2 linked regions of the Notamacropus eugenii genome follow. The protein of the gene in region 1 purifies or fractionates together with the protein of each later gene. This does not show direct contact. Links are inferred from orthologs where the notes say so. Each region holds a gene or a part of one and is shown on either strand. Other genes may lie near its edges. The genes, in order: NUFIP1 and ZNHIT6.

The links.
Region 2: the proteins of NUFIP1 (region 1) and ZNHIT6 purify together in Homo sapiens (affinity purification with western blotting; 3 studies listed by BioGRID and IntAct, with this or other methods). This does not show direct contact. The link is inferred for Notamacropus eugenii from reciprocal best matches to the Homo sapiens genes NUFIP1 and ZNHIT6.

What each region holds. Positions count from the first base shown.
Region 1 is NC_092877.1:295,519,445-295,535,513, reverse strand, and holds the start of NUFIP1 (FMR1-interacting protein NUFIP1), read left to right. Parts: upstream 1-9,094; 5' UTR 9,095-9,285; coding exon 9,286-9,652; intron 9,653-12,815; coding exon 12,816-12,901; intron 12,902-14,641; coding exon 14,642-14,740; intron 14,741-15,832; coding exon 15,833-15,895; intron 15,896-16,069. Other genes in the region: GPALPP1 (GPALPP motifs-containing protein 1), read right to left, coding at 2,908-3,049, 9,010-9,094. UniProt on the Homo sapiens protein: Binds RNA.
Region 2 is NC_092873.1:495,144,037-495,160,105, reverse strand, and holds the start of ZNHIT6 (box C/D snoRNA protein 1), read left to right. Parts: upstream 1-5,002; 5' UTR 5,003-5,422; coding exon 5,423-5,575; intron 5,576-5,576; exon of another isoform or gene 5,577-5,950; coding exon of another isoform or gene 5,951-5,989; exon of another isoform or gene 5,990-6,060; intron 6,061-6,155; coding exon 6,156-6,277; intron 6,278-10,193; coding exon 10,194-10,259; intron 10,260-10,348; coding exon 10,349-10,455; intron 10,456-10,544; coding exon 10,545-10,630; intron 10,631-13,221; coding exon 13,222-13,325; intron 13,326-16,069. UniProt on the Homo sapiens protein: Required for box C/D snoRNAs accumulation involved in snoRNA processing, snoRNA transport to the nucleolus and ribosome biogenesis.

The sequences.
Region 1 (16,069 bases):
ATGTAAATCATAATAAAGGAGGTATGACATGTGTCACATGAGTACAAATGAGTATGGTGCCAGTAGAATATGATATGGGTACAAAGGAGATTTATGCTAAGAGTCTTAGGAAAATTTGAGGAAATGTTATTTTCAACTGAAGGAATTAGAGAAGGCTTTCTGAGGAGCTTGTACCCAAGTTGGGCATTGAAGAGAAGGATCTCAACAGGCAGAGATTAAACAAAAGGGCACTGTAGTCACAGGGTGCAAGAATGTACTGTTGTAGCAGACTACAAGGACCAGATGCCAGCCCAATTTGGTTGGAATACAGAGTGACAAGGAGACTAGTGTGAAATAATACTGAACCACACTGTAGAAAGTATTAAATAGAAGGGTAAGGAATTTGTAGTTTATCCCAGAGGCAGAAGCAATCGGGAGTCTCTAATGTTTTTCAGCAGAGTAATATGGTCAGGCCCATAAGGCTATATGAAGAATAAGTTAGTGAAAGGAAAGAATGGAGGGAGGGATAATAGTTATTGAGATATTATAAGAGTCCAGAGAAGTGGGGATAAGGGCTAGAAGTAAGGGAGTGGAGATGCAAAGAAAGAAGGAGTTTATGGGATGTCATGGAGGTAGAATTAACCAAGACTAGAGTCAAAAATAACATTAAAGTTTCCAGCCTGGGAAGATGTTGGTGCTAACAACAGAAACAGGGAAACTAGCATTAGGAAACAAGATCAGATGATTTCAGATGATAATATTAAGTCTGTGGTTCCAATGAAGCATTAAGGTTGAGAAGTTCATCCAGCAGTTGGAGATGTGTGAAGGGAGAAACTAGGACTAAAAGCAGAGATCTGTACAGCATTTCTTCCATGACTGAAGTGACAGGGGTGAAAGAGACTGTGAAGAATGAGAGTGTAATTCCATTATCTTCACTCCTCAAACTATTTTGTTTTTATCTAGAATGCATTTTGTACTCACCTGCATATATGCTGTTTCCCCCTCAGTAGAATATAAGCTCCTTAAGAGAAAGAATTATTTTATTTTTGTCTTTGTACCCCAGTGGCTGCCACAGGTCTGGGCACAAAATTAGGCACTTCTTAAATGACTGCTGAATTATATTTATAGAGAAAAAGAGGACCAAGGTTAGAGCTAGAAGCAGGGGATAAGTGATGGGGGGGAGGGCGGTCAACTACATTTTTTAGGTACATGATGATGAACCATCAAGCGAAAGAAAGAAAAAACAGTCAGACAAGTAGTAAAAGAAGTAGGAGAGAGCAGTGTCAGGGAGCTCAAGGGGAGAGAAAATTACCAAGCTGAGAAGTGGTGATTAATAATGTCAATACTGTAAAAGTCACAGGGACTAAGAATAGACCACAGATCTGGCAATTGGGTCACTAGGGATACCGGAGGGATCAGTTTCAATAGAATAGTGAGATAAGCAGGAATAACTGAGGAACTGACTGGGCAGTGAGGAAATAGAGGAAGTAAGTGCAGGCAAACTTTCCCCAGAAGTTTGGCAGTGAAGAGGAAAAAACATAGGAAGATAGCTGGAAGGGATGACAGGAATGTCTTTTTTGGGATGGGGGGCTTTAGTATACTTGTAGGCAGTAGGAAGGAGATGGCTGACAGAAGAAAAGAGAAGGGGATTGATCAGAGTCTAAGAGGAGGCAGGAGAGATGAGATCCAGGGTAAAAGTGGAAGCAAGAACAAAGAAAGGGGACACTTCAGTTGGGATACTAGAGCAAAGAGTATGGATGAGGGTCTAGAGAAGTTATTGAGTCACATTAGACAGAAGATGAAGGTATTCACAACTGATGGCTTCAATTTTCTTGGTATAAAGTAAGATTGTTTTCTGAGAGAGAGGGAAAAGTGATGGAGGGAGGAGGAGGGAAATGGAGGTGAACTGGAGGCTTGAAGACAGAGAAGGAGGTTTGGAACAGCTCCTGTGCAGAGTATGATATGTAGTCAGTCAGAAATGAATAAAATGATTGCTGTGCAGGGGCCAGGGAAAGCAAGGAACATCAGATACCATGAATTTATTATGGCCTAGGTGAGCAAAGTTTCCTGAGTTCCTTCAGAAGTGTTTTGGAGTAGAAGCAAAGAAGGCAGATGGTAGGGGAGACCCTGGGAGTGATAAGACAGGCAGGAAGGGAGATAAGGATAAAGTGCAGACTCTCATGGAAATGGCTAATGTCTCCTTCAAGCCCATGAAGGAGGGAAATAAAGCCAAAACAGAGATCATCTCACACGTGAGAGCAAGGGGAAGCTGGGACAGTAGAAGAAGTCAAGCTGTGAGAGCTAGAAAAAGACAGGAAATTATGCTGGGGGGACTGCAGAGTTCAAGATCTTACCAGCAGTTTCAGGTGTTCAAATGGTCTAAAGAATGACTGCCACTCAGGTCTTTGGGTGGATGAATGGAAACAACGGCTGAGCTTAAGGGTGGGTCTAGGTAGAGACAGGACGAAAGTAAGCAAGCTTGCAACAGAAAAGTGCTATGGGGAAATAGATAGAAATCCTTCTCGAAAAGGGTCAAACTAGAGCAATGGGTACAACATAGGATATGTATATTTGGGGAGGTTCGATTTAAAGAGATGTTCTGTCTTGGAAGGAAAATCATACGTTCAACCAAATTTATATTTTAAACTTCTGGACAGATATTATTTTTTGGATCTACTTAGAATAGTCATTTGCAAAATATCTCTAGGACAAGTTCATAAATAAAAGAAAACTGGTTGAAACAACAGCTCCATGTTACACTTAAATTAATTTCCCTTTAATAGATTCAATTAATGATAAGATGAAATAATTTCTACCTTTTGGCATACACAAATTCAGATGAAAGCTGTCTGTATATATTCAACTTTTCTACTACAGACAATCCTATAGAGAAGGTTTAAGCAATGACTTATGAACAAAATGACTGACCTTGGGGTTGGACCAGTGTCATGTTCCTCTTCAGAATCTTCCTTCCCCCCTTGGTGTGGCAAAGGAGAATCACTGTCTTCATCACTGGATGATGAGTCTGAACTACTGCTCTTATAGTCAGGGGGCAGTGCTGGTCCTGCAACTAAAGAAGATTTGCTAGGGATGCTGCAACCTTCAGGAAAGCTTTCCTAACCACTCTGAGGTCTCCTATGCATTCACATACAGCTTACCGTCTTCTATGCACTTTGGCAATTACATATACTATCTGGTATTGTTTACTATCATGTACGCATTCAGCTTATATCCCAAGAAAAGAAACGATGTTCTTTTGTATTTTCGGTACCTACGAGTAGTTACATTGTAATGGATATGTGACTTCCTCCACAAGGGCAGATTCAACCCTCTCTCATCCTTTGTGGTTCCGGTCTTTGTCTTCCTTAAACCCTTCAATAAGTTCTCTTACTCTAGAAAGACCCTTCACTAACAGCTTCCTCCAATTTTTATAGTGGTATGTAGATGACCTGAGGCTCCAAGCTCCAAAACTATGACAGAAGAGAGTAAACTCTGACAGGCTCAACCAAGCTGTAAAGCCTTGCAGTAAGCACCAGGAGTTAAGGCAGTTCAAGGATAAACCTAGCTGATTCCAGGATACTTTATCACCAGGCTGGCTAAAAGGTAATGAGTTTGTGGTCAAATCAGCTCTTCTACTACTTAATATAGGAGTTGTAATCAGCATCAGTGAAGGAAATATACACTGATGAAATCACAACACCCTGAAGTAATCAACAAGATCTTTCCAAAGGACAGGTAACCTTTTAAGTCTGTGAATATTTTGGGGCTACCAATACAATATTCAGATGGTCCATCTGTTTTCCTTTTCTCTCACTATGTGACCACTCTCCTTTCTTTTCACATGTACATTTTCCAGTTCTTTTCTCTTTTTTGTGTGTGCACAAATCCATCATTGAAAGTATGTTGCAACTTACTTGGAGTTCTATTTCTCACTAAATAGTTAATATGATGAACTTGAAAGCTTATCTGCTTTAGTATCTTCAATACTTTGATGGAATTTCCATTAAGGTTCTTTTATATCATTAAACAGAACAGGTTGCTTTAGAATCTATCCTAGAATTCAGTAGATTGCAAATTCCTTTAGGACTTTACTAGGTGGTCTTTCACTTTTATATTCCCAGCACTTAGCATGTTCTTAGCATATAGCAGCCATTCAATAAATGTTTGAAGAATACCATACTTTGGAAAATGCCTAGAAATAACTGCTATATAGTGGAAAGACTAAGAATCAAATAATTTTAGACTGAATTATATGGAAAGATACTTGATTTTTTTGTTGCCTTGGTTGTCTGAGTCTATAAAATTGGAATAATTTTTTTCCCCTAGTTTATAGAATTCATGCACCTAATGCACCTCTGATTTTTTGTTTACCTTGTCATTGTTGCGTTTGTCCTTCGTTCTCAAAGTGGACCATGAAATCACGATGATGATAGGACTTGCAGTTGACTTTGATTTGAGGTTTTTGTTTTTGTTTTTGTTTTTTGATTAAAGGGGCCATCCCTTGAGTAACTACTTTAAAAAGCCTATTCGTTGAATGGGTATATCTCACTCAAAGTGAGAATGTGATAAGACCATAGCCTGAAAGGACCAGAGTTTCACACTGCATCCTGGTCCATCTCCAGTCCTCCTGATGAATATCAGGCCACTGGACTCAGATGGCTCAGGAGAAGAAAGTGTGGTTGGTGACCCTGCACAGCCATACCTCACTCAAATCAAAGTCATGTCATCCACTTGATGTCATGGTCCTCTTTGAGAACAAAGGACAAACATCACCTGTGAGTGAGTAGCAGGTCCTCTCCTCCTGTACCTCCTTTCCTCTCCTCTGGTGTTCTACTCAGGGGAAGGTATACTCCATGCCCAAAAGCTGCCTTTTTTCCTCTGGGTTTACTGGCTACATTTCTTGCTCAAAGATCAGGCCTTAAACTCAATTCACTCTGTAGCTCATAGACTTTACCTTGTAAACAAGGAATGGCAGCACCACCTAGGATGAATGAAGATCATCCCCAGAATGGGGATTCTGTTTCAGTCAGAATGCTACTTTCGCATGCTCTTCTCTCACTCACACTAATGGTACCTTCTTTCTCTCTTTGCTTTTGATTTTAAAGTTTTAAGTAGGGAGGTTTTTTCCTTCTCTTTTTTTTTCTTGCTTTCCTTTCCCCTTTCCACTTATAATACAATATTGAAATACACTATGCCTCTAGGTGAAGGAGCTGATGGCTCAGTGGATAGAGCACTGGGTCTGGAGTCAGGAAGAACTGAACTCAGAATTAGCCTCAGTCACTTCCTAGCTATGTGACCCTGGGCAAGTCACTTAACCTCTGATTACCTGACAAAAGAATCCACTGGAAAAGGAAACGGCAAACCACTCCAATATCTTTGCCAGGAAAACCCCAAGGACAGGTACTTGGACTTTGCCTTGACCTGTCATTTCACTCACATAGGTAGTACCCAAAGAAGACCTTCCTTTAGCCAAGCAGGTTAGGACCTTCTCTGAAACTTACAGGCACAGAGTAGAGCACTGAGGGGACATGCAGAGGGGCACACAGCCAGGATATGATAAAAGAGGGACATAAATGCAGGTTTTTGAGGTCAGCTTTCTGGCCAATCTGCCATGCTGCCTCTCTCACTTGGGTTTGGAAAGGATTTTAAAATAACTAGTTGTACGGTGCACAGCTATGCAAAGAATGGTACAAAATGAATGACTATATTAAATATTTTAAAAGTATATTTTTAGGAAGTGGTACATGCTGGAGAGTAATTTCATTTACAGCAGTTGTATAGTTACAGTGATTGTAAAACTATTTTAAATTTGTGCTGCAGTGAATTTGTTATTACTTTCAACAGATGAGGATAATACTCAAGAAACAGCATATGTTACTACAAAAAAATTAGAGCAATGCTGAAGTGTGAAATCAGCTATACACTCCACATAAAATAATTTAAAATAAGCATTATATAATAGGATAACACCATGGCTATGAGAGACAATAATGGGACCAGCTGATTTGAGTAACCTATGCTTCCTAGCTTTATTTATACATTTTTACAGAAATTTTCCCTCTTCAAGGCTCTAAAACTCACTCACTTATCACTAACTCAGTAACATTTACTAGGTGCTTATTGTGTGCAAAACCCTGTACTCAGTTTTGAGAAAGTAAAGAAGATGAAAGTAAATTCAAGGTCAAGACCTCTATTAATAGCAGCTTCATTGCAATCAATCATTTGTCTCAAAGTTTCCACACTTAGGAAAGAACAGCAAAGACTAACAAGCTTTGACATTGATCAAAGGATAGGCACTGATTAAGGGCCTTCTTCCTGTTAGGCACTGTGCTAAGTTCTGAAGAGGCAAAGACAAATATAAAAGTCACTGTCCTGCAGAAGCTTACATTCTGTGAGGGAAAAAGTATACATATAAGATAACATGGTGAAGGGTGGGGAGAGGGACAAAGTAGCAGCTGCACAAGAGAATCAAGAAAAGCAATATGGCACTTGAGTTGATCTGAAAGAAAAATTCTATGAATTGAAAGTCTGAAGGTTGGGTATTTCAGGTATGGGGTACAGTCTGTACAGATGGTGTGTTGTATAAGTAACTGCAAGAAGGCCAGTATGATTATATGTGAAGAGTATGTGAAGGGGAGGCTGAGGTGTTTGTACTAAGAGGCTTGTAACAGTTGTTGTGAGGAGTGGGACAGAGTCAATTAAAGTAAAAGGACTGCCATAGTACAGTGAGGTCCTAGTTGAAATAGATAACAAATCTGTAGTTGACTTCCCACAGCTCTCTTCAGCAGAACTATGAATAATGGTATTGGAGTAGCTGAGTAGGAGCGAAGGAGATGGATAGTGGACAGTCTAGAGTTGGGCTCTGACAGAGGATCCCACAGAAATGAACGAGTGAACTAGTAAAGAATGGAAGAGAAATACAGCCAAAACTAGAGTGATAGCCAAAGAGAGTATTTGAAGGGTGGAAGGTGTGGACAGCATCTAAACCAGAGGTATTGTGTTACCAATATTAGGGCAGATGTCCCAAATGGGACTCCAAATCACTCAATAAAAAGATCCTAAAATTGCTGGGAGTAGAGAGGATCTCTAAACTCTTTTCTTGTATTCCCCATAATGCTTAGTGCTATCAAATCAAGGTATTAACACAATTTATTAAGTATCTACTTTGTGAATGAATTTGACTAACGGTTCTTTACACCTAGTCAGTTAACAAGCATTTATCATGTATCTGCTATGTGCCAGATATTGTGTTGCTGCAGGGAGTACAAAAATGTATCAGACACTGCCCTTAAGGAGCTCATATTCTATGAGGGAAAATGTATACATGTGTAAATATATACAAAGTAATATACTAATAATATACAATGTAACTTCTGAGGGAAGGCACTAACAGTTGGAAGACAAGAAAGACCTCACCTAAGAGGAGAAAATGAGATGTTTATAAAGCTCTTTCAAAACCTTAAAAAGCTGTATAAGTGTCAGCTATTATTAGTTATTATTAATAAACATCATGTGTGAAGCACTGTGTTAAGGGCTGCAGATGCAAAAAAAGGGCAAAAACAAGGTCCCTGGTCCCTGCCACCAAGGAGCTCACATTCTTATGGGCTGTACATATTTCATCCTGGAGGCAATAGGGAGCCATTGAGCCTTCTTTACTAAGAGGATATCATACTTCTCTTTAGTTTTTTTAATCTCTGTAGCAATTCATTTTTTCTTTCCAATATATTTGTATTATTAATTAGTTCAGAGAGCTGAGCAATTTGTTCAACATATAAAACAAGTCAATTTCCTAAAAACCTAGTCTCAGCAGGACAGATACAAAATGAACTGATAATTTAATTTCAGAAGTTCAGATTCATCACATTTTTGTCCTTAAAAAAAACCTAAAGGTTCCTTTCCTTTTCTTCATTTTTATAGGGCTTCCCCAATCCCAACCTTCCTTCACCCCCCAGGTAAAATTAGTATTTTATGATAAAGTATATTTTCCATTTATGTAGGCCTGCTCCTTCTTTTATAATGTATCTGAGTGGAATTTGGAAATACCTTTCTGTTATTTATTATTATCCCCATTTCACAGATGAAACCAAGGCAGACAGAGGTTGAGTAATGGCAGGATATGGCAGCAAGTGGAATTTGAACTCAGAACTTCCTAATGCCCCCAGAACTATCTACTGTGCCATCTATCTGCTGCCTCAAATGCTTTTTGATTGACAAACAACTTTACCACCTAACTCTTAGTCTACTTTCCCAGGATGAACATGCTTTGTTCCAACTAACCTGGCTTTCTTGCTGTTCCCTGCATGCCTCTTCTGTCTCATCTTTAAACAAGGAGTTCCTTATGCAGGTAGACAGATAGAGTGCTGAAACCAGAGTCAGAGAGACCCGAGTCCAAAATGTGACCTGGTGCAAGTCACTTAACTGGTCTGCCTCAGTTTCCTTATCTATAAAATAAGGATCATAACAGCACCCACATCTCAGGGCTGCTGTGCGAGAATCAAATAAATGACTGTTTCAACTCTTTTTTTTTTAATTGATTCTCTAAGTATAGCATTATATCTTCTGCAAAGAGTGATACTTTTGTTTCCTGTCTATTGTTAGTTTTTTCTTGTCTTACTGCCATAGTTAGCCTTGCTGGGAGGATCAAAGAAGATCGGATCCTTAAGAGCTACGGAAATGCTACGATGAGGATGATGAGGCCTGGAGTGTTCTCCCTCCTCGCCCCTTTCCCCCAACGTCCCCTCCAGCAGAATCTCCAGCATCCCTCACAGCCCAGCTGGGCAGAGCAGGACCTTCCTGATCTTCCCCAGCGGGCCCCTTCCCACAAAACTGCTGTGAACTTCCCGACCCTGCACTTGTTTCTCGTGCTTCTGCCTCCCCTGGGTAGAAGGGAAGCCCCTCGAGGGCAGGGCCAGGGTCATTTCCCCAGGGTCTTCTCACCCCTCGCCAGGAGCCCGGCCCATAGCGGGCCTCGACACTCCCAGAGGCTCCGGGGCTGGCCTCACCTGGGGAGGGATGGCCCTCCTAGCTTACCGGGACTCAGGTCCGGCTCTTCCTCCGCAGTCCCTCGGGCGTTGAAGCCCGGGGGCAGCGCGGGGCCGATCAGGTCCCTGGCCATCGCGGCCCAAGGAGAGCCCAGCCTCCCTGCCCAGGTAGCGGTACACGCAGAGACCCCCACACAATACGCACGCGCAGGGTCCCTCTCGGTCTCCCAGTCTGGGGAAAACTCCGGACACAGTGTTTCCGGCGCCTGGAAGTGACGTCACGACAAGCCATTGGTCCCAAAGTGTGTTTACTGGTGGAGCGGAAATGACGCACAATGTCACCGCCTCCGAGATTAGCCCACGTGCTGTGGGCTGCTGGCGAGCTGCCGGTCTTGCCTCAGTTTCCCGGGGAGGCTTACCCCCTAGTTTCATGGACCCGTTCGGTTGGTACCCTCCGCCTGGGCCGCCCCCGGTGCCAACGCTCCCGGGGTTTGAGTCTGATCAGTCTGCGGACTGGACATCTTGGGTGCTTCCTCCTCCTCCGCCGCCCCCGCCGTCCATTCCGCCGCCTCACCTTCCCTCTTCCTCCGAGAATTCCTGGGACTTCCAGGCGGCCCGGGACTGGTCCTGGGCGCCGACCCCCGGCTACGACGGCTTCGACCCTCCGCAGGGACCCTGGTACCAACTGCCGGGTAAGTCGTCTGCGTTTCCCCCCCATGGCTGTTATTTCTTAGGGGCCTTCCCCATCCCCCCTCCCCAACCCCGAGAATTGACTCGGTTTCCGTCCTCCGTCCTCACTCCGCCCTCAATCTCCCGCGTGTTTTGTTAACTCAGAAACTTCCCACTGCCGCGCTCTTGGTCTCTTTCAATTTTTGGATTAATTGGGGTGGGGGAGGGGCTTGTTCAGATCACTTTAGTCAGACTTGGAACTAGAAAGGATTTCAGAGGTCATCTGAGTGGGAGCGGATGGAATAAACGTTTTTTTATAGCGCCTGCCCTTGACACATTTTATCTTATTTGCACCTCATTTGCGGAAACTGGGGCAAACAAAGTTAAGTGCCTCGCCTCGGGTCCCACAGCTGGTGAGTGTCTGCAGCCCGATTTGACCTCGAGTGTTTCTGAGGCCAAGCTCCGTGCTCTGTCGTCTGCTCTGACTGAGCCAACCCGCTCGTTTTAGGGATGAGGACAGTATATCTTGGCCAAGGTGGTGGAACTAGTAAGTTCAAGAAATGGGATTTGAATCCAAGGCCTTGGGCTTCCAAAGCCAACGTGCACTCTGCTGCTTCACAAAGGATTTATTTTGCAATGTTTTCCCACCTTACGGGAGATGTTGCCGATTTCATTGTGACAGAACTTTTATTCAGATGTTACGAGTTTGTGTTTGAAGTTGAAGGATCTTGGTGTAACTGGATGGAGTGCTGGCAATGGAATCACAAACCCTTGGGTTCCTATTCTTACCTTAGACCTTAAGTTGGTAGATTTAACCTCGCTGGGCCTCAGTTTCCTCATCTGTAGAATGACTGCGTTGGGACTCATGACCTCCAAGGTCCCTTTCTGCTTTATATCTATGATCACAATGACAACTATAATTTTTTTTGGTAGACAAAAGTCTAACCTCTAGGGTTTAATGTCATTTTCCAATTCAGATCCAAAGTTCTCCCCTTTGATTTCAAGATCAGCAGTTTGCTCTATTTACATCCTTTATCTTTCACCTATTCTCTTTGCTCTTTTCTAGCCAGGCCTTATTAGTTTTGTAGGATAATTTGGTACCATCCCTGATTTCACAGATGAAGGAACTGAGGACCAGAGAGATGTGGTCAAGGTCCAGATCCACTTCCTCCCATTGTAAATCTGGTGCTTATTACTTGACTGTGCTGCCTCTTTAGTTTAACTTCTTATTTCCTATCTGGGGACTATCTCCAGTCATCCTGACTTAGATCTTGTCTCTTGGTCTGTCTTGGAGGAGAAAGTGAGGCTAGTGACTTTACACAGCCCTTCTCCCTTAAATCTGATTTACTTGCAAGTCATGGAATCACCTTCTTGTTGCCATGGTCCTTGAGAAGAAAGGACAAAGAACAGCAAGGACACATTTCCTTGGCTTGCCCAGGGAAGTTCTGTCTAAATCAGGCCTGTGCATTCTTCAGGCTGCTTGCATGCCCAAGGATTTCCTCTACATAAAAAGGTTTTTTCCTCTATATTCTTGGAGGGCCACTCGAAATCCTTTGGCTTGCCATAAGCAGCCTGAGGGCCACAGGTCTGATCTAGATAATAGAATATATAAACTCAAATAATATCCACCATTCCATTCTTCCAAGTTATGGTGGTAGTGTTGGGAGGGAAAAGTGAGTGGTGAGAGAGCTTAACTGTCTGAATAACAGGAGCTTCTTAAACTGCCATGTCTTTTATGAAGTGTCTTTGGGAAGGTGATATAGTTTCAGTTGGTTGGGCAGAGGCAATGCTTATGTGACAGGACTCTGCTCTAGTGGAAACATCCCAGTATTTGTGACCTTGAACAAATCATTTCACTTCTCTAGGACATGATTTGCTCATTTTTTTAAAAGAAAGGGATTGGGTTGTTTTCTCATTCTCAAAATAAGCCCCATTTAGCTTGAAATCTTACTATCCTGGGCTTCACCGAAGTAGTTTTGTTAGTTGCTCTAGTAAACATTTTTGTGAGAGGATAGTCATTTCATGCAAATGAAGCAAGAAAAAAATTATTCTTTAAATATTTAATAGTAAATAATGAGTGCTTGATATGGGGTCTTTCAGTAATTCTCACTGGTCACAATATTCATGGACCAGATTTTAAGTGGCAGAGTTAGTGAATAAGATAGCAAGAATAACACAATAGAGTAGGCATGGTTGTTGCACAGAGCTGTTACGGTGTAGCACAATTTCTTAGAATAAAGAGGATGCAGGGTGATGGTGTCTGCAGTGATCTGTCAGTAACGTCATCGGGCAGAAGTGACATGTGGCATTATCTGTTTAAAAACTGTGGAATCCTCTTTTATACAAGCTAAAATTGTAGCATTGATTATGAAAATCCACCAAGAATGCAGCGTCTCACTTGAGTCACTGACTGCATCATCATGTAGTCCTCTTCATTTCAGTGACTTGAAAGTTGAGGAAGTTAACTTAACTAGAAGGTAAGTGACTTGCCCTGGGTTACATAGCCAGTGAGTGTCTGAAGCTGAATTTGAACTCAGCTTTTCCTGATTCTAGGCCCAGCACTCTAGCCATCGTACTGCCAGCTGCCTCTAGTGGAAATCAAGTTGAAATCTAGTATTTAATAATGATAAAAATAGCTTCCATGTCTCTAGTTCTTTAAAGTTTGCAGAGCCCTTTCTTCACAGTCCGTTTGTGTGATAGGTAGGCATTAAAACCTGAAGATATTTTTCCTCTTGCTCATCATTTATCAGACTGAACAATTCTGATTTTATGAGACGGTATTTTAAGTATGCTTGAAGAATACCTATTAGCTAATATTATGGAAATTAATTAAACACATCAATCTTGGATGGTCACTGCAGATGAATATGGGGCTGATCCTAGCATTAACAGGAGAAAGGTGATAGATTACCCTGTTTTCATTGAACTCAGCCAATTCACTACCTTAGAGGATGTGAAGGAGTAGGTGGGTCTAAATCTGCCTGTGATGGACAGGTCAATCAGTGGTTTGAGTCTGCTCATTTTGTGGAAATCCCATCTCGCCTAATGCATCTTCTCCTAACAGAGGAATAGTTGTGTGTTTCTGCTATGTCTAATTTCTCTGCTTTATCAGTTTCTTGACAATACCCTGTGATGTGTAATTTAAAAATAATTATAAGTAACTGTGTTTCTCATTTTGTTTTGTAGGCAGAAACTATCATTTCCCCAAGAAAAATCATGACAGATCAAATCGAAATTTCAAAAATCACCAAAGGGGAAAACAGAAACAAAAGGTATTTAAGAGAAGTCTTCAGAGATAGGCTCTTTGCTGCCTGTGTAAGGTTTTTGTTTTTGCTTCTTTCATGTAGAATGGGTTTTCTTCTACTGTGGTGGTGGTTCTCCTCTAGATACTAAGTTAAATGTTGATCAGACAGTGGAGTGTGTATGGCAGGGGTGGGGGTGGGGGTTTAATTTTTTTTTTTTTTTTTTTTTTACTATGCTCCCATAGTAAATGTAGAATCCAGTCTACCTAGTCTATAGGTAGAGTTGGGCTACCATTAAGCAGAAACTTTCAAATTAGGAATTAGTTGGATACTAGGTACTGTGTACAATTTTCATAATTTTAATTTGAAAACTTCCATATACAATAAAATTACATAGAACTATTATATAAATGCTGTGTAAGTATTGAATTTAATGAAATTACTAAATGTATTTACTTGCAATAATTCTACCTTTGAACTACTGAAAATCTTTTTTTGAGGTTTTAGGTATGTAATCACTTTAATTTAATTATGGAATGGTAAAATATGAAAGCAATTAACCTGCATTCCGAGATTCATTTTGCTTAGAGTTACTGGATAGAAGAATGACCTTAGAATCTGGAAGATTAGGGTTCCAGTCGCTCCTCTGACACATAATGACCTTGGGCACACACCAGGTGTAATATCTGCTGACCTTCATTGTTGGAAGAAAGCTTCCTCAATGGCATTTTCTTTACTAGTGAAATCCTGGGTTTAGTCCAAATCTGTACTTGCTCTGTTTTTGTCTCTCTCTCTCTTTCTCTCTGGGTTGTTGCACAGTGGAATTCTTGCAAAGAAAGGAGGAAACATTCTTTTTCTTGCCTCATTTTTTTTTTAGTATTAAGTTGTCTGAGATAGACTACTAAAACAACCTTTTACTGTACCTACACCAAATTTAATTTAACCTACAGATTATGCATTAACGTCTCATTTCTCCAGTATCATTCTCTCCTTTTGCTTTGTGTCCTGTTTGTCTTAAATGAACAGAAATGCCTACCAGTAACATTCACAGGTCTCACCCAAGAGCCAGAGGTTCTCTGTAAAGCAGAACTAAGGAGCAGAAGGGCAGGAGGCATTTTAATGTGATTACAGCACACATAGTAGGGCTGGGTGCTGATAGACTTCTGCATCACCATCTATTCAACAGCCATTAAACTGAAAGTAATTTTTTTTAGACCTCTTTACAAGGGTCCAATGTTTATTTTTCATGGTTGTTTAAAACATAGTCATTTTATTTAAATGAATAAAATTTCTTTATTTAAATGAATTTGTAAGTTTTAGGGTTTATCTTTTTCCTTAGTGTATTTCCTTGAGAATTCTAACCATGTTTAGAATTTATTTATTTATTTATATTTGAATCAGCAAGTATTTATTGAGTATCTACTATATGTAAGGCACTATGCCAGGTTCCAGGGATACAACGAAAAAGTGAGATAGCTCCTGTCCTCAGGGAGCGTATACCCTAAGAAGAGGCACAACGTGTGTATGCAAATATATACAGAATATAGGCAAAATAAATACAGGTTAGTTTTGGGCAGGAGAGTCTTTTGGTAGGAAAAATGCACATTTTCTAATGTTAATAGCTCTTAATAAAAACAGTTTTTCTAGTTCTTTATTTTCTAGTTATCATTCCTGTTCTGATATTGAAGTTCTTTTTTTGGCTGTTTATTAGAGGTTTTCTTTTTAAGGAATGATAAATATATAAAAATGATAGCATTTTTTTTCTGACAGAAAAATAAAGAACCAGTATATACCCATTACTGTGATACTTGTGATCGTGGCTTTAAAAATCAAGAAAAATATGACGAGCACATCTCTCAACACCGAACAGTAAGTTTTCTGATTGATCCTTAATTTTCAAAATAGTTCTTTCTACTTTTGTATCTCTTAGCAATCCATATTTCATTTCCATAAGATTGCTAACTGATAAGTGCAGTACGCTAGTGCTTCCTACCAGTTAGCAGTGTAGTCTGATGTCAAGCCATCACAAGGTTCGACAGATTGGCAGTCTGCGCTGGGGCCACACCCCATATTTTGGGGAGCTTGATTTCTTCAGGGAACAGGCAGGTGGTAGTGGGTAGGTGAGAAACTTGGGTGTGGCCTTTTTGCTGTTTCTGTCTTTTTAAAAAGAATCCAACTGTTTGTATACACATGCTATCTCCAAGGGTTGTTGTGAAGATCAAATGAGATAGTGTACAAAATGCTTTGTAAAATTGAAAGCATTTTATGAATGTGATCTGTTACTGGTATTAGCTACCTGTTATATTCTATTCCATGCCCAAAATGCCTTGGAGTGGGGCTGACCCTTCCTATTCCCTTATGCAATCATCAGGCTCTGTAGTGTTCTTTGGTACATTGCTTCCCCATGCCAACGCGGTCCTTGATTTTGCTTAAGCCATTAAAAAAAATTATTAGTGGTGTTACAGAGGGCACCCATTGGGTGACTTGCTGTGAGCCTGTATCCCACCTACAGTGTAACCATAAGGTATAGTCTTATATGTGACCCCTACATCAAAGGTACTTTATTATACAAATCCCCAAGCTGACCCTATCACCATGAATGCGAAGGCAAAGAAAAATCTTTGTTCTTTTAGACAGAAGCCTTTAAGCCTTGTCTTTTGAGGCTCTATTGAGGGTGTTGTGTTTTTTCACTTTCCTTCTGAGATGATCCTGGCATTCAAAAAGTGAGGAAACCTGTTGCTATATTTGATCTCTGTTTTCAGTGTATGAATCCCTTTCCACCCGTCTTTGCTCTGGACTGGTATTTCTTCCGTCCTAAAACATTGAGAGATAATAAACTTTACCTCGAAAAGCTTAATTGACTGTAAGAACAAATTGAATACCGGCATTGTCTGTGTTGTGGCAGAATACATTTTGTATGAAATGTAGTGAATAATGTTTTGTTTTTTTAAATTACCTCAGTGCTCGGTCGATGGTTGCAGTTTTAGCGCTCATGAGAAGATTGTTCAGATTCATTGGAAAAATGTAAGTTACCACTCTTAGGTTTATCCTTAGATTTGCCAGCCTCTTTTCTTTGGTGGTTTGCCAACTCTACAATAATTATGGCATAGGACAGATCTTAGTTACACTTAATTTTTTAGTCTTGTTATCTCTTCAGCTACTCTCATTGTCAAATTAAGAAGATGCATAGGATGTTTA
Region 2 (16,069 bases), on another chromosome or scaffold:
AACTTTTTCCCCCTGACCTTATAGGTAATTGGCTGTAAATAGGTGCGATGAAGTCGTTGTCACCTAGTGCTGGGTACATGGTTATGCAATCTGTGTGCTTTGGATTCAAAGCCCTTGTGTGACTCAGGGCCACAGTAGAAAAATGGCGCCATTATTATTACCTCAAAGGGGCAGAAATTTATGGGCAAGTTGAGTTGGCACCCTGGCAGGGCCCTCAGGTCTACTCAAAGATATAAAAAATAATTCCAGTAATAATCTGTTAAAAATGATTTTGTTGAGTGTGCATATCTGAACTGGTTCATATCCGGCATGTAAGGAAAAGGGTCCCTTTTTTTTTTTTAAAGTAAATACTAACAGATCAGTTTGATGAAGACAATTTACTTTATGAATGAACATAGCATATATGGATTTCCATCAATACAAAGGAAATAAAAAAGTTTCTTGGATCTCTATCAATTTGACAATCAATGGGAATATTAACATTTCCCAACAATTATTGTTGACATGGATCAGCTAGTCAACACAGTAAAATTAGAACATAAAACTTTTCAAATAACAATGATAAATCAAATATTCTAAGATTCCACATTTAATATATGTGATGAGAGTATATTTTCATCACAAGGTCAAAGGGAATGTAACTACTTACAGTTTCATTTTTAGATGGGTATTTATTAACTTTTTTTCCCCACCTGTTGTCCAAACATGATGAAGACACAAATACAAATACCACAAAGGAAATTCAGATTTTTTTTGTCAGCCTGGATATTCTCAGCAGTTTTTGTTTTGGCCTTTAGAATAAGCCATGATGGAGAATATAATAATAGTAGGGAAAGGTTCAAATATAGCCATCAGATTGAAAGATAATATCATATTGCACTGTCCAGTGGTTCAATGGTAGAAACAGATATGGTTTTATCAAATGAATTGATACTCAAGAAAATGTGTTTGCACGTTAGCCTTACTTCTCCATTATGCTCCAGACAAATTGGATACTTGCCAACTAGATCACCAGAGCCTTCCACAAGTGCTCTAGAACACCTGAATTTACAATCTACCCTGCAACTTCACACTATAGATAACTACCCCAATTGCCTCATCCTGGGTCATCTCCAGTCATCCTGATGAATATCTGGTCACTGGATTCAGATGGCTCTGGAGGAGAAGTGAGGCTGGTGACCTGCACAACAGCCCTCCCTCACTCAAAACAAAGTCAAGTGCAAGTCATGTCATTATTTCTCTGATGGCATGGTCTTCTTTGGCAAAGAAGGAAAAACACACACACACATTAGGTCTTAACAACTGTCCTCTTGGTGGGCCTTTCCATTCATCCAGAATCAGAATTCTGTTGTATATATTATCTCCCTCTCTTGGTCCCTCCTTGGGTATCTATTTATATCTCCAGTATATAGCACAGTATTTTGCCCAAAGTAAGCTATTAACAAATGTCTTTTCTTTCATTCATTTGTGGGATCATAGACTTTAGAACTAGAATGGAGCTTAAAAATCATGTAATCTAAATCCTTATTTTATAGATGAGGGAACTGAGGTCCATAGAAGTCACACATTTAGGAATGCACAGAACTGGGATTTTCCTCATTTGAAAGACTCCAAAATCCATGTCTTTCCACCACACATTTCTTTCCCTTGGGTCAAACCACCCTAATGGTGAAGTCAATACATTTAATGCCACTCCACCTCTATTGAGCAGAAAACAAGAGAAGTATGACTATAGAGCTATTCCTCTGAGAAAGGTCTGAGTCTCTGCTGGCTCAATGTGAGCCAAAGGCACATGATGGCAGCCAAAAAAGCTAATTCAAAGGAGACTTTTGGCAAGATGGCTAAGTAAGATGTCGTGGCTAAGTCCAGATCCCTTCATCACTTCAAAGAAGTGAGAAATAAGCTATATAAAGTAAAAGGAAAACAACAGAAAAAAGACAGAAAAATAAATAATTCATGACAAGGAAAACCTCATGGAAAAACCACCAAAGAAATTGAAAGAATTGAGTAAACAAGTAGGAAGCTGCTAAACAAGGACTAAATTATATTGAGTGAAAAAAAAAGGTAAGGAAAAATCCCCAGAAGAGAGGGTTACAGTTTTAGCAGAGGATATAAATGCTAGAACCCAAACTTGTGACTAATGTCAGGCCCTTCTCAATAAAGACAAAATAGCCAAAAATGCATGATGATTCCATTTAATTCAATTGAATAGATAATTTATCAAGAGCTCACTATTCGTAAGGCATAGTGCTAGGAGCTACTGACACAGAGGTAAAGTGCCTTCCTTCAAAGAGCTTTTAGTCTTCTAGGTAATTTGGAGACAGGAAATCAGAAAGTGGTACCTGAGCTCTTAGAAGGTGATGCTTAAGCTGAGCACTGACTGAAGCTAAGCATTCTAAGAAGCTGAAGTGAGGAAAGAATGCCTCTCAAGCATACAGGACAACCTTTGTGAAAGCGCAGAATTGGAATGTAGAGTTTGGGTCACACTTTGACTAGTGCATAGAGTGCTGAGCCTGGAATTGGGAAGGCTTATCTTCCTGAGTTCAAATCTGACCTCAGACACTAGCCATATGACTCTGGGCAAGTCACTTAACCCTGTTTGCCTCAGTTTACTCATCTATAAAATGAGATGGAGAAGGAAATGGTAAACCACTCCAGTATCTTTGCCAAGAAAATCCCAAATGAAGTCAACAGAGAGTTGGCCATGACTGAAAACGCCTAAACAACCATTGAATGGAATATAGAATATGTGGAGTCCTAAGAAACATTTCTGAAAAAATAGGCTTAACCAGATGGTGCAGGACTTCAAATGTCCTGCTGAAGACTTGGCATGCTATCCTCTAGACAACAAGAAGACACCAAAAACTGTTGACCTGTGCCCTAGGAAAAGTACTTTGGCAGCTGGGTGATTGATAGATTGGGGTGGGGAGAAATAGGAAACAGGGAGACCAGTGAGAAGCCAATTACAGTCCAGATGAGAGGGTGATAAAGGCTGAACTAGGAGTGATGACTATGTAAGTGTTGAGAAGGGGCTGGATGTGAGATATATTGGGAAGGGACAGGGGGAAAATGGGAGGGTGGAATGGATAAGGTTTAGCAACTGACTGGCTATAGGAAAAGAGAGTAGGAAAGGAGAATAGGAAATTCTGAGCCCCTGCAACTTGAAGGATTGTGGAGTCCCAAAGAGAAATTCCAAAGAAGGAAAAGTTAGAAGACAGGTTGGGCTTAAAGTGGGGGAAGGGGGAGAAGATAATGAGTTCTATTTTGGACATTTTAAGTCTGAGATGACACTGTAATATGCAGGTGTAAATGTTCAACAGGCACCTTGCAATTTAGTACTGAAGCGCAAGTGTACACATACACACACACACACACACACATTTGGTATTCATCTGTGTAAAGATAAACAATGAACCAATAGGAACTGATGAGATCAAAAGAAAAAACTGTGGAGAGAAAAGTATAAAAGAATAAGCCTTGGGTTTAGGGGGTGGGAAATGGATGATTGAAAATTATCTGCCAATTAGGTAGGGGGAGAGGGAATTGAGGCAACCTTTTCTGTGACTTTGGCTATGACCATAGGACATATATCTTTAAGATAAGTGAATGAGTATGCTTTTATTTTAAGTACTTAACAATGGTAAGCACTGGGCATATCAATAGAAAAGATAGTCCCTTGCTCTTAAGGAGCTCAAATTCAAAAATACATTATGGAAGGTTTCAGCTGCAAATATGATGGAAAATTCCTGTAATCGTGAGGGTACAGTTGTCATTTTAACTGATAAAATAGAATCAGCTTGTGATGTTGAACCAGTTAGCAGTCCATATTCCAATAGATGTAAAAAGTCTTAGGAGTGAAAAGTCATTACAACTGAGGGATACCAGGAATGGAGGCTTTGTGGAATATCCTTCTTGCTCTTTCAACTCCCTCATTTTACAAATGAAGAAACTGAGGCTAAGAGTTTTACATGAGCCCCCTCAAGTCACATGAGCAGTAGTTGGCAGACCACCTCACCAAACCCTTCCACTAAATAGGTTTTAATTAGTAGTCACTTGAGCACCCTTGGAGGTTCTGAAAGGTAAAGGACTGGGTCAGAGCTCTGTGGTTGGGAGAATTAATCTGGCAACAGTGTGAGAGTGCAGAATAAATGGGAAAGTCTCCTCTTCCTTAGGACTTAACAGAAACCACTCTATGGGGAATCTTCTTCTTCTCAACCCTTCTTGTGCCTCTCCACAGTCCAAGGGTTCTTCACATCTCAATCACCATCTACGTGTCTACACAGGATGGGGGGACAGGGCCCAGACCCATAGTTGTCCTCCTGATAAACAAAAACCACAGCTGGGGAAGCTCCCTTTCCCAGTGTAGACTATGAATAAAGGAATGAATGAGAGAGCGCTTAACTAGGTGCCAAGGACAGGGCTAAGCGCCCAGAAACCAACCCCAAAGCCAAGCCGGGGCTTCAGTTCTAATGGGGGTCGGGGGCGGGGCGCAGTGCGGTGGCCAGGGAGGGGCTCTTTGGTTTGGGAGTTGCTGGGTGCTGAGTGGGGCCTTGGGGAAGTGCGATGAGCCACGTGTTCCAGGGGAAGATGGCGGAATCCAGCACCGTGGTGGGGGGAGGGGAACACGTGGTCACGAAGCACGGAGGACTCCAGGCCGCCCCAGAAGCCCTATCAGCAAGGGGGCAGGCTCCCCAATAGCTCAGTGACTATTTATTGATCTCCGGCGGGTGGGGGGAGACCCACGACTTTCTGGAGAGAGGGGGCCCCCGGGTGAGGGGGGGCGCCTTCCCTTCCAGCGCTGATTTGGTCGCTGTTGGGGGTTGGGGGGGCAGGAAGTGGTCAGAGGGATCCGGGTCCCAAGGGGACGATCAGAGCCCAGGGCCGCAAGGAGGTGGGGAGGAGGAGGCCTCGGGAAGCATCCGGGCGGAGGGAGCTGCGCCCGGGGCAGCTTCCAATCTTATTCTAATTAACTATCTAGATTAATTAAAGTAGGTAAGTACTAAACGAACCCGGGCCAAGTTCAAATTCCGGCTGCCTGGATAAACGGGAGCAAGCCGCCCAAACTCCCTGGGCGGGGCCAGCAGCCGATAGGGTCAATAAAGAGGAAGTCCCGCCCCGAGCTGGTTCTCGCCGACCGGTCGCCTTCCGTTTCCTTGGAAACCGCGCGCGCAGCTGTCCTCGCGTCGGGAAAAGGTCGTAAAGCGGCGCTGGCGCGACTTGGTGGTGAGTGTGGTTTACGGCGGGAGGCTGGAGCGCGTGGAGGCTCGTGGCCTCACGTGGCCTCACGTGGCCGGCAGCGCGCGCGGTTTAGGGGCAGTCGCTCACTCGCTCTCCCGCGGCGCGGTTACCGGAGCGGCGACTGGGGGGCCGGGACGCCGGCGGCTCCGGAAGGGCCCAGCGGGGCGGGGCCTGGAGCGAGGACATGGCTGAGGCGCAGGGCGGGGACGGCGGGGACGGCGAGCCCGGGGAAGGGCCAGGGGTCCCGGGGATGGGGCTGGAGCTGAAACTGGAGCCGGAGGGGGACGGGCCGCAGATCAAGGCGGAGGTGATGGAGGAGCCTGAGGAGGGGACGCAGGTGTGATCCGAGGGAAAGCAGGACGTCATAGACGGGCAGACGTGAAGCGTGACGTCATAGACGGGATAGAGAGGAAGCTGACGTGAAACGGGACGTCATAGACGGGATAGAGAGGAAGCTGACGTGAAACGGGACGTTATAGACGGGATAGAGGGGAAACAGGATGTCATAGACCAGGCAGAGTGAAGCATGACGTCATAGACGGGATAGAGGGGAAGCAGGATGTCATAGAGGGGATAGATGGTAAGCGTGACATCATAGACGTGATAGAGGGGAAGCATGACGTCATAGACGGGGCAGCCGTGAAGCAGGAGTCAGTCGATACCATAGAGGAGAAGCAAGAATTTAGAGATGAAGTAGAGGAGAAAGGAATTAATGGGCGGAGTAGACGGACTGGAGGCCGTGGAAGAGGTGGTGGGTAGACCACAAATGAAGGAGAAGCTGGCGGGTTGGAGGAGGGCATCCCAGGAAGGCGCAGAGTGGAGGTGAAGGAGGAAGTAGGGAGAATGGGGTGAGGATGGGAGAGCGCAGGAGGCGACGAGGAGGGGAGGGGAGAAAAGGCTGGGTGATGTCTGGACAGGGGGTGAAGGAGCAGGAGATGGCTGGAGCCCGCGCCAGGGAAGATGGAGCAGAGCTGGCCGAGGAGCAGAAACCGCCGAGGGAGCCTCGGGTGGGCAGCAAGCGGAAGCTGGCCATGTCCAGGTAGGATGAGAGTGACAGGTCGGTGTGCCAAGAGGGAGGCGGGTTCCAGGTGGTTCAGGGGGGCAGACAGAACTGGAATCCAGAGGGTTCCATAGGGCCCTTGAAGCCTTAACTGGGTTGTCAGGCTCAGTGGGGTATTTGACGTTGGTGGAATTTGGGGAAGAACCAGAGTGGGTTGTAGGAGGATAGGAAGTCAGAGCACACGTGTCTTGGGGGTTGAAGACTTTCAGGTCGAATGAATTAATTAGATTTTTGTCTTGACTTCTATTAATTGTGTCTTCCTCTTTCCAAGTGGAGAGAAGCAATTATGTACTCTGGGACTAGGTTAATTTTAGATGAAAATGCACCTACATTTCTATGCTGGGTTTTATTTAAATTTATCCTCTTTGATTTATAATTTAATCTATAATAGGCAGCTAGGTGGTACAGTGGATAATCCTGGACCTGGAGTCAGGAAGATCTGACATAGCCAGTGTGATCCTAAGCAAGACATTTAATTAATGGCTGTCTGCCACAGTTTCTTTATCTGTAAAATGGATAGCATCTTCACCAGGGTTATCTAGGTGGTGCAGGAGTCAGGAGGACCTGAGTTCAAATCTCACCTCAGACACTTGACACGCACTAGCTGTGTGACCTTGGGCAAGTCACTTAACCCCAGTTGCCTCATCCTGGGTCATCTCCAGTCATGCTGATGACTATCTGGTCACTGGATTCAGATGGCTCTGGAGGAGAAGTGAGGCTGGTGACAACGTGCACAGCCCTTCCTCTCTCAAAACGAAGTCAAGTGCAAGTCATGTCATTATTTCTCTGCTGGCATGATCTTCTTCGGCAATGAAAGACAAGCACACGTTAGTCGTGTAGCTTGCCCACGGTGCACCCTGGAGCAGAGGGGTGTCAACCTTGCTGTCCCCAGCAACCCTCCCTAGTGCTCCCTGAACCAGGTTGAGATGTACTTGGGAAATGTTAAACAAAGTAAATAAAAATACAATATAGCCTAGATGATGTTCATCCATGATTTCCTAAGTCGGCCTGCAGCCCACAGAGATGCATTCCTAGTTGAGCTGGGGCAGAACAAGAAGCAGCTAATGAAAATGGCAGAGAAGCCAACTTAAAAAATTTAGACTTGATATAAGGAAAAATTTCTTAAGAAGTGGGCTATCTGCCTCTGGAGGTAGTGGGTGGTTCCCTTCATTGAAAATTTTTAAGCATAGTTGGATGCTCTTTTGTCAGGTAGGTTGTTGTAGGGATTCGTTTCAGTGTAGGCTGGACTGGATAGCCACTAACGTCCCAATTCTGAATTTTTACGATTTGTACGGCCCCCATGATAGACATGTATGGCATATCTGAGAACCAGCCTAGCTAATGTGGAGAGAGGCTCATTACCTAGGTTGGGCATAGGGTTATCAAATGTTGCAGCCACAGCAATTTCAAAGGTCATTTACTGAATTGTAGAAGATTGTGATGAAATCACGAATGCTGGAAGAAATGGGATGTTGTCATGCAGTGAAAAAGGAAACAGAAAGGAAATGGAGGGGTGGAAAGGAAGGGAGGGAATCTTATTCTCCAGAAAACAGATGGCTCATCTGTCAACAGCACAAAAAACTACAAGTTCATTTGAAAATATTAGGTCAGAGTGGTTGGAAGGGAGAAGGAAATATCTGTTTCCTAAATTAGCAGCAGTGTATTGTTGTATTCTTAATTTGGCTTCAAACCCCATAACTACCACTGTTAGTGGCCTTGGTCAATATTATATCAGAGAAAAGACTAATTTAGAAGACTTTCTCTCTTCATGGGAGGTTTGATCTCTATTTTTAACTCAGCTTGTAGGTGAACTAGAGTCATTCTGTATGATGCTACTAAGTATGACAGAAAAAAAATTGGAAGAATTATCTGATGTCCTCAGTAAACTTCATTAGAATATTGAAAAATGAGTGGATGACTTTTCCTTGATCCATATAGTCTAGTAATACTAATTCTGATTGTTATTGGAGAATTTTCCAGAGGAGTTAACAGTCATCTCAATTGCCAAATCTACTGTCCTTTCTCAATTCCCCTCCTTCTTGACCTGCCACCTTTGACATTGTTGATCAACCTCTTCTCCTTGATATTCTCTTCTCTCTAGGTTTTTGTGACACTCCTGTGTCTGCTTCTTTACCTGTCTGACCTCTTCATTCTTGTTTGCTGGATCTTCATCCAGATCATGCCCATTAACCAAGGGTACCCTCCAAGCCTCTGTCCTGAGCCCTCTTCTCTTCCCCTTCTGGTCATTTCACTGGTCATCTATCAAATTCAACCATCATTTCTAAACAAACACTTCTCAGATCTATTTGCCCAGGCCTCTGCCTCTCTCCTGACTTCCATTGTATGCATCTCCAGCTGCTTATTGGATATAGTGAACTGGATGTTTTGTAGACATCTCAAACTTAACTTGTCCAAAACCAAACTCATTATCTTTCCCTTCAAACCCCACTCCCCTCCCTTCCTAACCAGCTTCTCTGTTGCTGCCAAGGCCACCATCATCCTCCCAGGCACCTAGACTCAAACTTAGGTGTCATCTTTGACTCCTTATTCTCACCCCACTATATCCAGTCAATTGTTATCTCCCAGTTTTCCTGCCTTGGTAACATCTCATTTATATGCCCTCCCTGACCTCCCCCACCCCGACACTGCTGCCACCTTGGTGTAGGCCTTCATCACCTCATCCCTGAACAGTTGCAATACCCTGCTGGTAGATCTTCCTGTCTCAAGTCTTTGCCCACTCCAGTCCATCCTCAGTGCAAAAGGATCTTTCTTTGAAAGTTCAAGTCTAGCCATGACATCCCCTATCCCATAAACTCCAATGGCTTCTTGTCACCTCTAGGAACAAATATAAAATCTTCTCTTTGGTTTATACAGCCCTCTTATTTGCCTCCAGTCTTCTTAGACCTTATACCCCACATACCCAGTGACACTGGCCTCCTTGCTGTGCCTTGGTTAAGATACTGTCTCCTGACCCAAAGCATTTTCACTGCCTCACTGTCCCTGTTCCTTCTCATGTCTGCCTCCTGGCATCCCTCAGGTCCCAGCTGAAGGCCCACCTTCTGCAAGAAAACTTGCCCAGTTCTCCTTAATCTTAGTCTTTTCCCCCTGTTATTGTGCCCAGTATATCTTCTACCATTTTGTTTGTACATGGTTGCTTGCATGTTGTCTTCCTGTGTTGTCAAACTGTGAACTCCTTGGGAGTAGAGACTGTCTTGTCTTTTGTTGTATCCCCAGCACAGCATATCACTTTTCACTGAGTAGGAGATAGATAAATGCTAGCTGACTGACCAGAGAAGAAATCCGGAATTGGGAAGAGGCCTCCCATAAGGATTTAAGACAGTAAACGCTTATTAATCTCATACTCTGTGCCAGATAGTGTGCTCAGCCCTGACGATAGAAATATAAGCCAAAAAAAGATACTCCTTGCCTTCAGGGAACTTCCATTCTAAGTGGGAAAGACGTCACTGAAGGGAGCTGGGATCTGAGGAAAGAGAAGTGGTATCTCCATGGGGAATGTCCACGTAGACTTTACGTCTGCAGAGTGAGAAGCAAAGCCAGAAAGGGAATGAAGGCCAACCCTCCTGGGTCCCTTCTTAAAAACAGAAGTGCCAGGTGGTTGTGACCAGTGGGGTGAGAACCAACAAAGGAGGTGTGGTGGCCAAGTCCCTGAGAAGTCCTGAGCGGAGCTGGGAGGAGAATGATGAGTGGCCATGAAGGGTTTGGGTTTTTGTTTTGTTTTGTTTTTTTTAACCAAAAGGTTACTTTTGTACATGCCTGAGTTAGTAAAAGTGTGTAAGTTCTTTGTGGAAATTTATTCATCTACAAGTAGATTACAACTTTGGCTATTTTAAGAATTACACATATTTGATGGGCTTTTGTTTCTTGTTTCTTGTAGCTGTGAAACATGTGGTACAGAAGAAGCAAAGTACAGGTGTCCACGCTGTATGAAATGTTCCTGCAGGTATGAACTCGACCTAGTCCTCTTCCTGCTGCTTGTGCCCTTTATACTTCTGAATGAAAATGCACAGTTTTTGTATGTTGCCTTTTCAGTTTAGCATGTGTGAAGAAACACAAAACAGAGCTTACATGCAATGGAATTCGAGAGAAGACAGCATTTGTCTCGTTAAAACAGTTTACTGAAATTAATCTTCTAAGTGGTAAGGCAGAATATCTCATCTTATTTGTAACTAATTGATGTATCTTTCCTTTGACATGTCACCTGATTTTTGTACTTTAAAAAATTTAGATTATAGGTTTTTGGAAGATGTGGGAAGATCAGCTGACTACATTGCTAGAGATGTTTTCTTGAAAAGACCCTCAACAAATAGAATTGTAAGTATTTATTTTTCTTAATAAGCTTCTTAGTTTTAACTAGCTTAAGAGAGGGACAGCTAGGTAGCACAGTACATCTAGTGTTTCAACTGGAGTCAGGAAGACGCCTCATAATGCAAATCTGGCCTAAGGCACTTACTAGATGTGACGCTGGGCAAGTCACTTAACCCTGTTTGCCTCAGTTTTCTTATATGTAAAACAAGCTATAGAAAGAAATATAGAAGAAGAAGGCCAAACAGTGTATATTTTGTCAAGAAAACCCCAGATGGGGTCACAGAGTCGGACACTACTAAAAATAACGGCAACAAAGGCTTAAGGGAAGGTGACCACAGCAATTGAGTATTATATAGATTTCATGTTCATAGGAGCATGGAATTTAAAGCAAAAAGAGACCTTTCAGATAAGTCAGTTCAGTTTCCTTAGGGAAACTGAAGCTTATAAAAGTTGGCTTTTCCAGGGTCACATAGGTGATAAGTAGTGGAACCAGGATATGAACCTGGGTCCTGTTTGCAAATCTAGTGTTCTTTCCCCTGCTATGTGCTCCAGATTTGTAAGACTTTTCCTTAAAATAACTATAAAATTAAAATTCAACATTGTGATGTAACTTCCTGTGAACATAAAATGTGTTCAAAAATGATCAACACAAATATTATTCATTTTTCTGTAGAGTAATTAGCAAAGAAACATCATATTTTAAAAAAAAAATTTCTTCTACCAGTTTTATTATTACTGTTTTTCTTGGACTAGCTAATTCAGTAGACAGCTATTCATGTGCATAGTGCCTGAAAGAAAGATTGTTATGTAATGTTATGTTTTAATTTTTCTTTAGAACTGTGTAACATTAAGTCTAAAAATCAGATTACCCTTAGAGATATTGACTGAACTCTTTATCAGTTCCAGTTGACACATTTCATGTTAGAGAATCAGCTAGAGTGAAGGTGTCAGACCCAAGACTGAGCCAAATTAAGATGAGATTGGGAAATATTTAACAATAAATAAAAATATAGTAGAATATAGATAATGTTAATGTGTGATATGCAGCCTTTGGGAATCTTTATATAGTTTAATGGTCTTCTATTTGAATTTGGCACTAATGAGCTGGAGCATTGAGAAGATAAGATTAACAATAAAGGGCCTAAAGTGACATATAGCTTCTTAAATTAAACTTCAGGTAGTGAAAAAAATTTTCAGTGAATCATTTGAATTTGTTGTCCCTAGCCCTAAAGTTTCTACAAAGTAGTATGACAGCAACTTGGATATAGCATCTTTAAGGTTTACAAAGCTCTTTACTTCCTATCTGCACAAAGAGATTTTCATTTTTAAATATATTAGTATTCATAGTCATTGCCTTTCAATAGTTGTTTCTGAATCCAAGTGGGTTTTTTGACTTTCTACAGAAAAAAATGATACCACCAATTTTGCCTGGTTTATTGGACATTGATGACACATACTTACTCTCTTAAACTACTAATGAGATGAACATGATAAAGTTTGCTCTGGCATTACTTCGGGCCATGAATAATTCAGAATCATAGTAACTCATTTTATTGGTGAAAGGCATTTATTATTACTAAGTGCTTTTGTTACTTATATAATTAAACAAAGCATGCCACTTCCTGGTATCCAAGTAGTACCTGTTTCATGCTGCAATAATGCTGTCCAATAAATAGTGTTAAATATGGAATTTCATGTTTAATAATGTTAAAATGATATACTCCACTGGTTTTGGAGATAGAAGACTTAAGTTTGAGTTTGGGTTTTGACAGTAGGGGTGTTACTTTAGTTATCATTTAATTTCTCTGAGACTCAATTACCTCATTTATAAAATTGAGATCATACATTACTTTTCTTACTTTTTATGAGGAGAAAATGCTTTGCAAAACTTTTAGACTGTGAATTATTGTTACTAAAATAACAAAATGGTTTTATCATACCTTAAGGACGTAGAGTGCATGGATTATTGAATACAGTATCTAGTTTTAATGGAATGATTTCATCATCCTTATCAGTATTATTCTGAGAGATAAGAGTAGCAAAACTGACCAGTTTCAGTTTGTTTTATTCCTTGACCTTGACTTTTTAGTGAAGTGCTAATAAGAAATGGCCAGGGCAGCTAGGTATTACAGTGGATAGAGCACCAGCACAGGAGTCAGGAGGACCTGAGTTCAAATGTCACCTCAGACACTTCACACTCACTAGCTGTGTGACCTTGGGCAAGTCACTTAAGGCGAGTTGCCTCATCCTGGGTCATCTCCAGTCATCCTGTTGAATATCTGGTCAGTGGATTCAGATGGCTCTGGAGGAGAAGGAGGCTGGTGACCTGCACAGCCCTCCCTCACTCAAAACAAAGCCAAGTGCAAGTCATGTCATCATTTATCTGATGGCATGGTCTTCTTCAGCAATGAAGGACAAACACACACACACCCCATAAGAAATGGCCAAAGGGAATGTAGCAGACAGAGAAATCAGAATACTTATGGACTCTATATTGATTCTTAAGTAATTGAGAGTTCATTAGTTTTTCAGAGTTTTAACTCAGTTGTGAAGTTGCATAAGCTATTTGAGTTTAATTTTTAGTTTTTGTTTATTAGTTAAATTACATGAAAAACCGAGCACGGAGACACAATATCGACTTAAGAATCTTACCTATTGGCTTTACCAAAAGAAGAGAGAATTCAACAGTGTTTGACAAGAAGTAAGTATCTAGTTGCTATAGAAATGTCTTAAATTGTGTATTTAATAAATTACTTTTGAGGTCTAGTGTGTTCTTTATCACACTAATGAAGTAGACTGTGAGGATGAATTACTCTTGCCCAGGAGGAAGTGTTAAGTTTTCTAGAAGTCACATGATCATAGATCAGAAGGTGATTTTAGGCGATGAGCAGTCAAATCTCATTTTATAGAGGAGGGACCTTGGAGGGACAGCAGAATCTATTGAGGATTTTAAGGAACAAGGAAACAAATTTTTAGGCATCAGAGAAGGAATAAGACGTTTGAGAGGGATTAAAGTTTAGCATAAGAGGCGACAGGAAGGAAATCTGCTGAAGGAGGTAGAGGCCAAGGGATCAGACACATGTAGAGTGATTGTCTTTGGCAAGAAGGGCCACCTTTTCTTCATGTGAGAGTGGAGTAAAGGAAGAAGACTCTCCAGATGGCCTTGATTTTTTCTTTTCTTTTTTAAGTTGCCATGTGAAGTGTGTACCTAAGAAGGTGTGGGAGGCTTGAGAGAGTAGAAAGTTGGGAATAGCTTTGTTGAGTGGGATAGAGCCTCAGGAAGGGGAGCTGTAGAAGCACTGCATTGCTGTCATGAGGGCCTGGCTGAGATTAGACACCCTAAATTTGTAGTGGATATGGTAGTTTAATGACTTCCTCCAGCTCTGTTCAGCTGCATGTGAGTAGAAACAGAGGAGCTGGTGGGAATATTTCAATATCGGGCTTTAGCAAGGCACAAGAGGCAATAAGACAAAGATGCAAGGAATTTGTGTGCAAAGCAGAGTGTAAAATTGAATTGGTTCACCAAGATACTGAAATTAGGAAGAGTGGGGACTGTGGCTCTAGCAAGGATGCTGACCTGGGAAAGTACTTAAGAGGTAGAAGGCCTGGAGGCCACAGTTAAGAATGAAGACTTAAATAAGTAGGTTTAGGATAAGAAGGCATAGGAAGAGAGAGCATGATAAAAGAGCATGAGCAGATAATAGAACTTCAGAGATCTCAAGCGTGGAAGTTGAACATAGGTTATGACAGTCAAGGGAAAGACTGTCCCTGTGTTTTTATGTACTATGTAATGCTGAGCTGCTATTGAGCGTAATATGGGAGCTGAGTACTTTTTGAACTGGAATTTTAGCATACTTAAGGGAGCAGCATATAACATTGAAATTTCTTACTGTGAGCATAGGTTTTGGGGATGAGATTCTATGCTCTTTGGATCTTGCCTTTCAAGTAATTCCAAATCCATCTAACTTTATCATCCAGCCCATGTCCCTTCTGCTTGTTCAGAAGGCTTGCATGAGACTGTCAGATGTTTTCCTGAAATCTCTATATGTTATGTGTACACAGTTCCTTAAATCTGCCTGTCAAATTACACTATCAAAAACAGAAATGAAGTTGATCTAGCATGGCCTGTTCTTGATAAATCCGTGTTGACTTTCTTTGCTTATAGCTTCTCTTTCTGAGTTCTCAGAAACCGTCCCTTTAATGCTGTGTTCGAGAATTTTCCCTGCCTTGTGAGGCAGGCAATTTGGAGGCCAAACATAATTCCCTTTTTAAAAAAATGAGGACAGTTACTTACTGCTGCAGGATGTCTTCTGTTTTCCATGGTCATTTTTCAAAAAATGACCAATTCTTGGTACCTGGTTTCTAGATCCTTCGGGGCTTGTGACTTGAACTCATTGAGGGGAGTGAGGTGATCTCTTGGCTATCTTCACTTATCTTTTATTTCAAGTCACACAGTCACAGACTGGCATAATTTGAAGAGAGAAATCAACCGCCATCTAATCCAGCCCACCAAGGAAAGGGATTCCATGTTATAATATATCCAACAAGTAGTCACCCAGCCTTCTTGAAGATACCCAAGAAGTCCCTGTTAACTAATTTTTCTATCCTGGTCTTTTCCCAGTCTAACAATCACTGTCCATGGAAGAGAAAACCAAAGCCAGATGAGGTGGTAGTTCTACCTTGTTATTCATTTTCATCTCTGAGCCGTAATCTTCTCGATTCCTTACTCCAACTCATCTAAAAAGCTCTTTTTTCCTTAGCTCATTCTGGGTCTTGGCTCTTGATGGTGCCATTTAGGACTGTGCTGCTCTTCATATCTAGTGTCTGTTTCCTGTTAAGTAACAGAATCACTTTAGGAAGTTGTTCCCCCTGTTCTCTTCTTCAAAATAACTTCTATTGATATCTTCAGAATTCTTTCTCTAGTCCTTTCCATCTCTCCTCAAGTCCAGTTTTCCTTGAAGAATAGGAGAGCAAAAAAGAGGCTACCTGTCCATTCTCTGAATCTCCTTTTTTTCCAGAAGAGAGAAAATGATTTGTCAGTATTTTAAAAACAGAAAATTGGGTTGCTACGGATGGGGAATGTTGCTTCCAGTTTCAGCTGTGATTACTCTGTCATTAGTTTTAGTTAATTATTTTGTTTTACATAGTTACAAAAGATGTTTCCATAAGTAGGGGTAATCTGTAAACGTTTGTAACAAAAACAAAGTATCCATAAAAGTTTTTGGATAAAGTGATCATTACCTGGATTTTCCTAGAGTACTTTGTGAGACTCTCCTTTGTGTGTATCATATTCTTGTGTGCTCATATCTCATCTCCCTTTACATTGTAAACTTAGCTACAGAACACATCTTTTTCATCTTTGTATGGCCAATACCCTAGCAGAGTGTCTTTTATGTGATGGCTTACTTAAAAGATATTTGTTAAAGTTGCTCTTTTGCTGCCAGT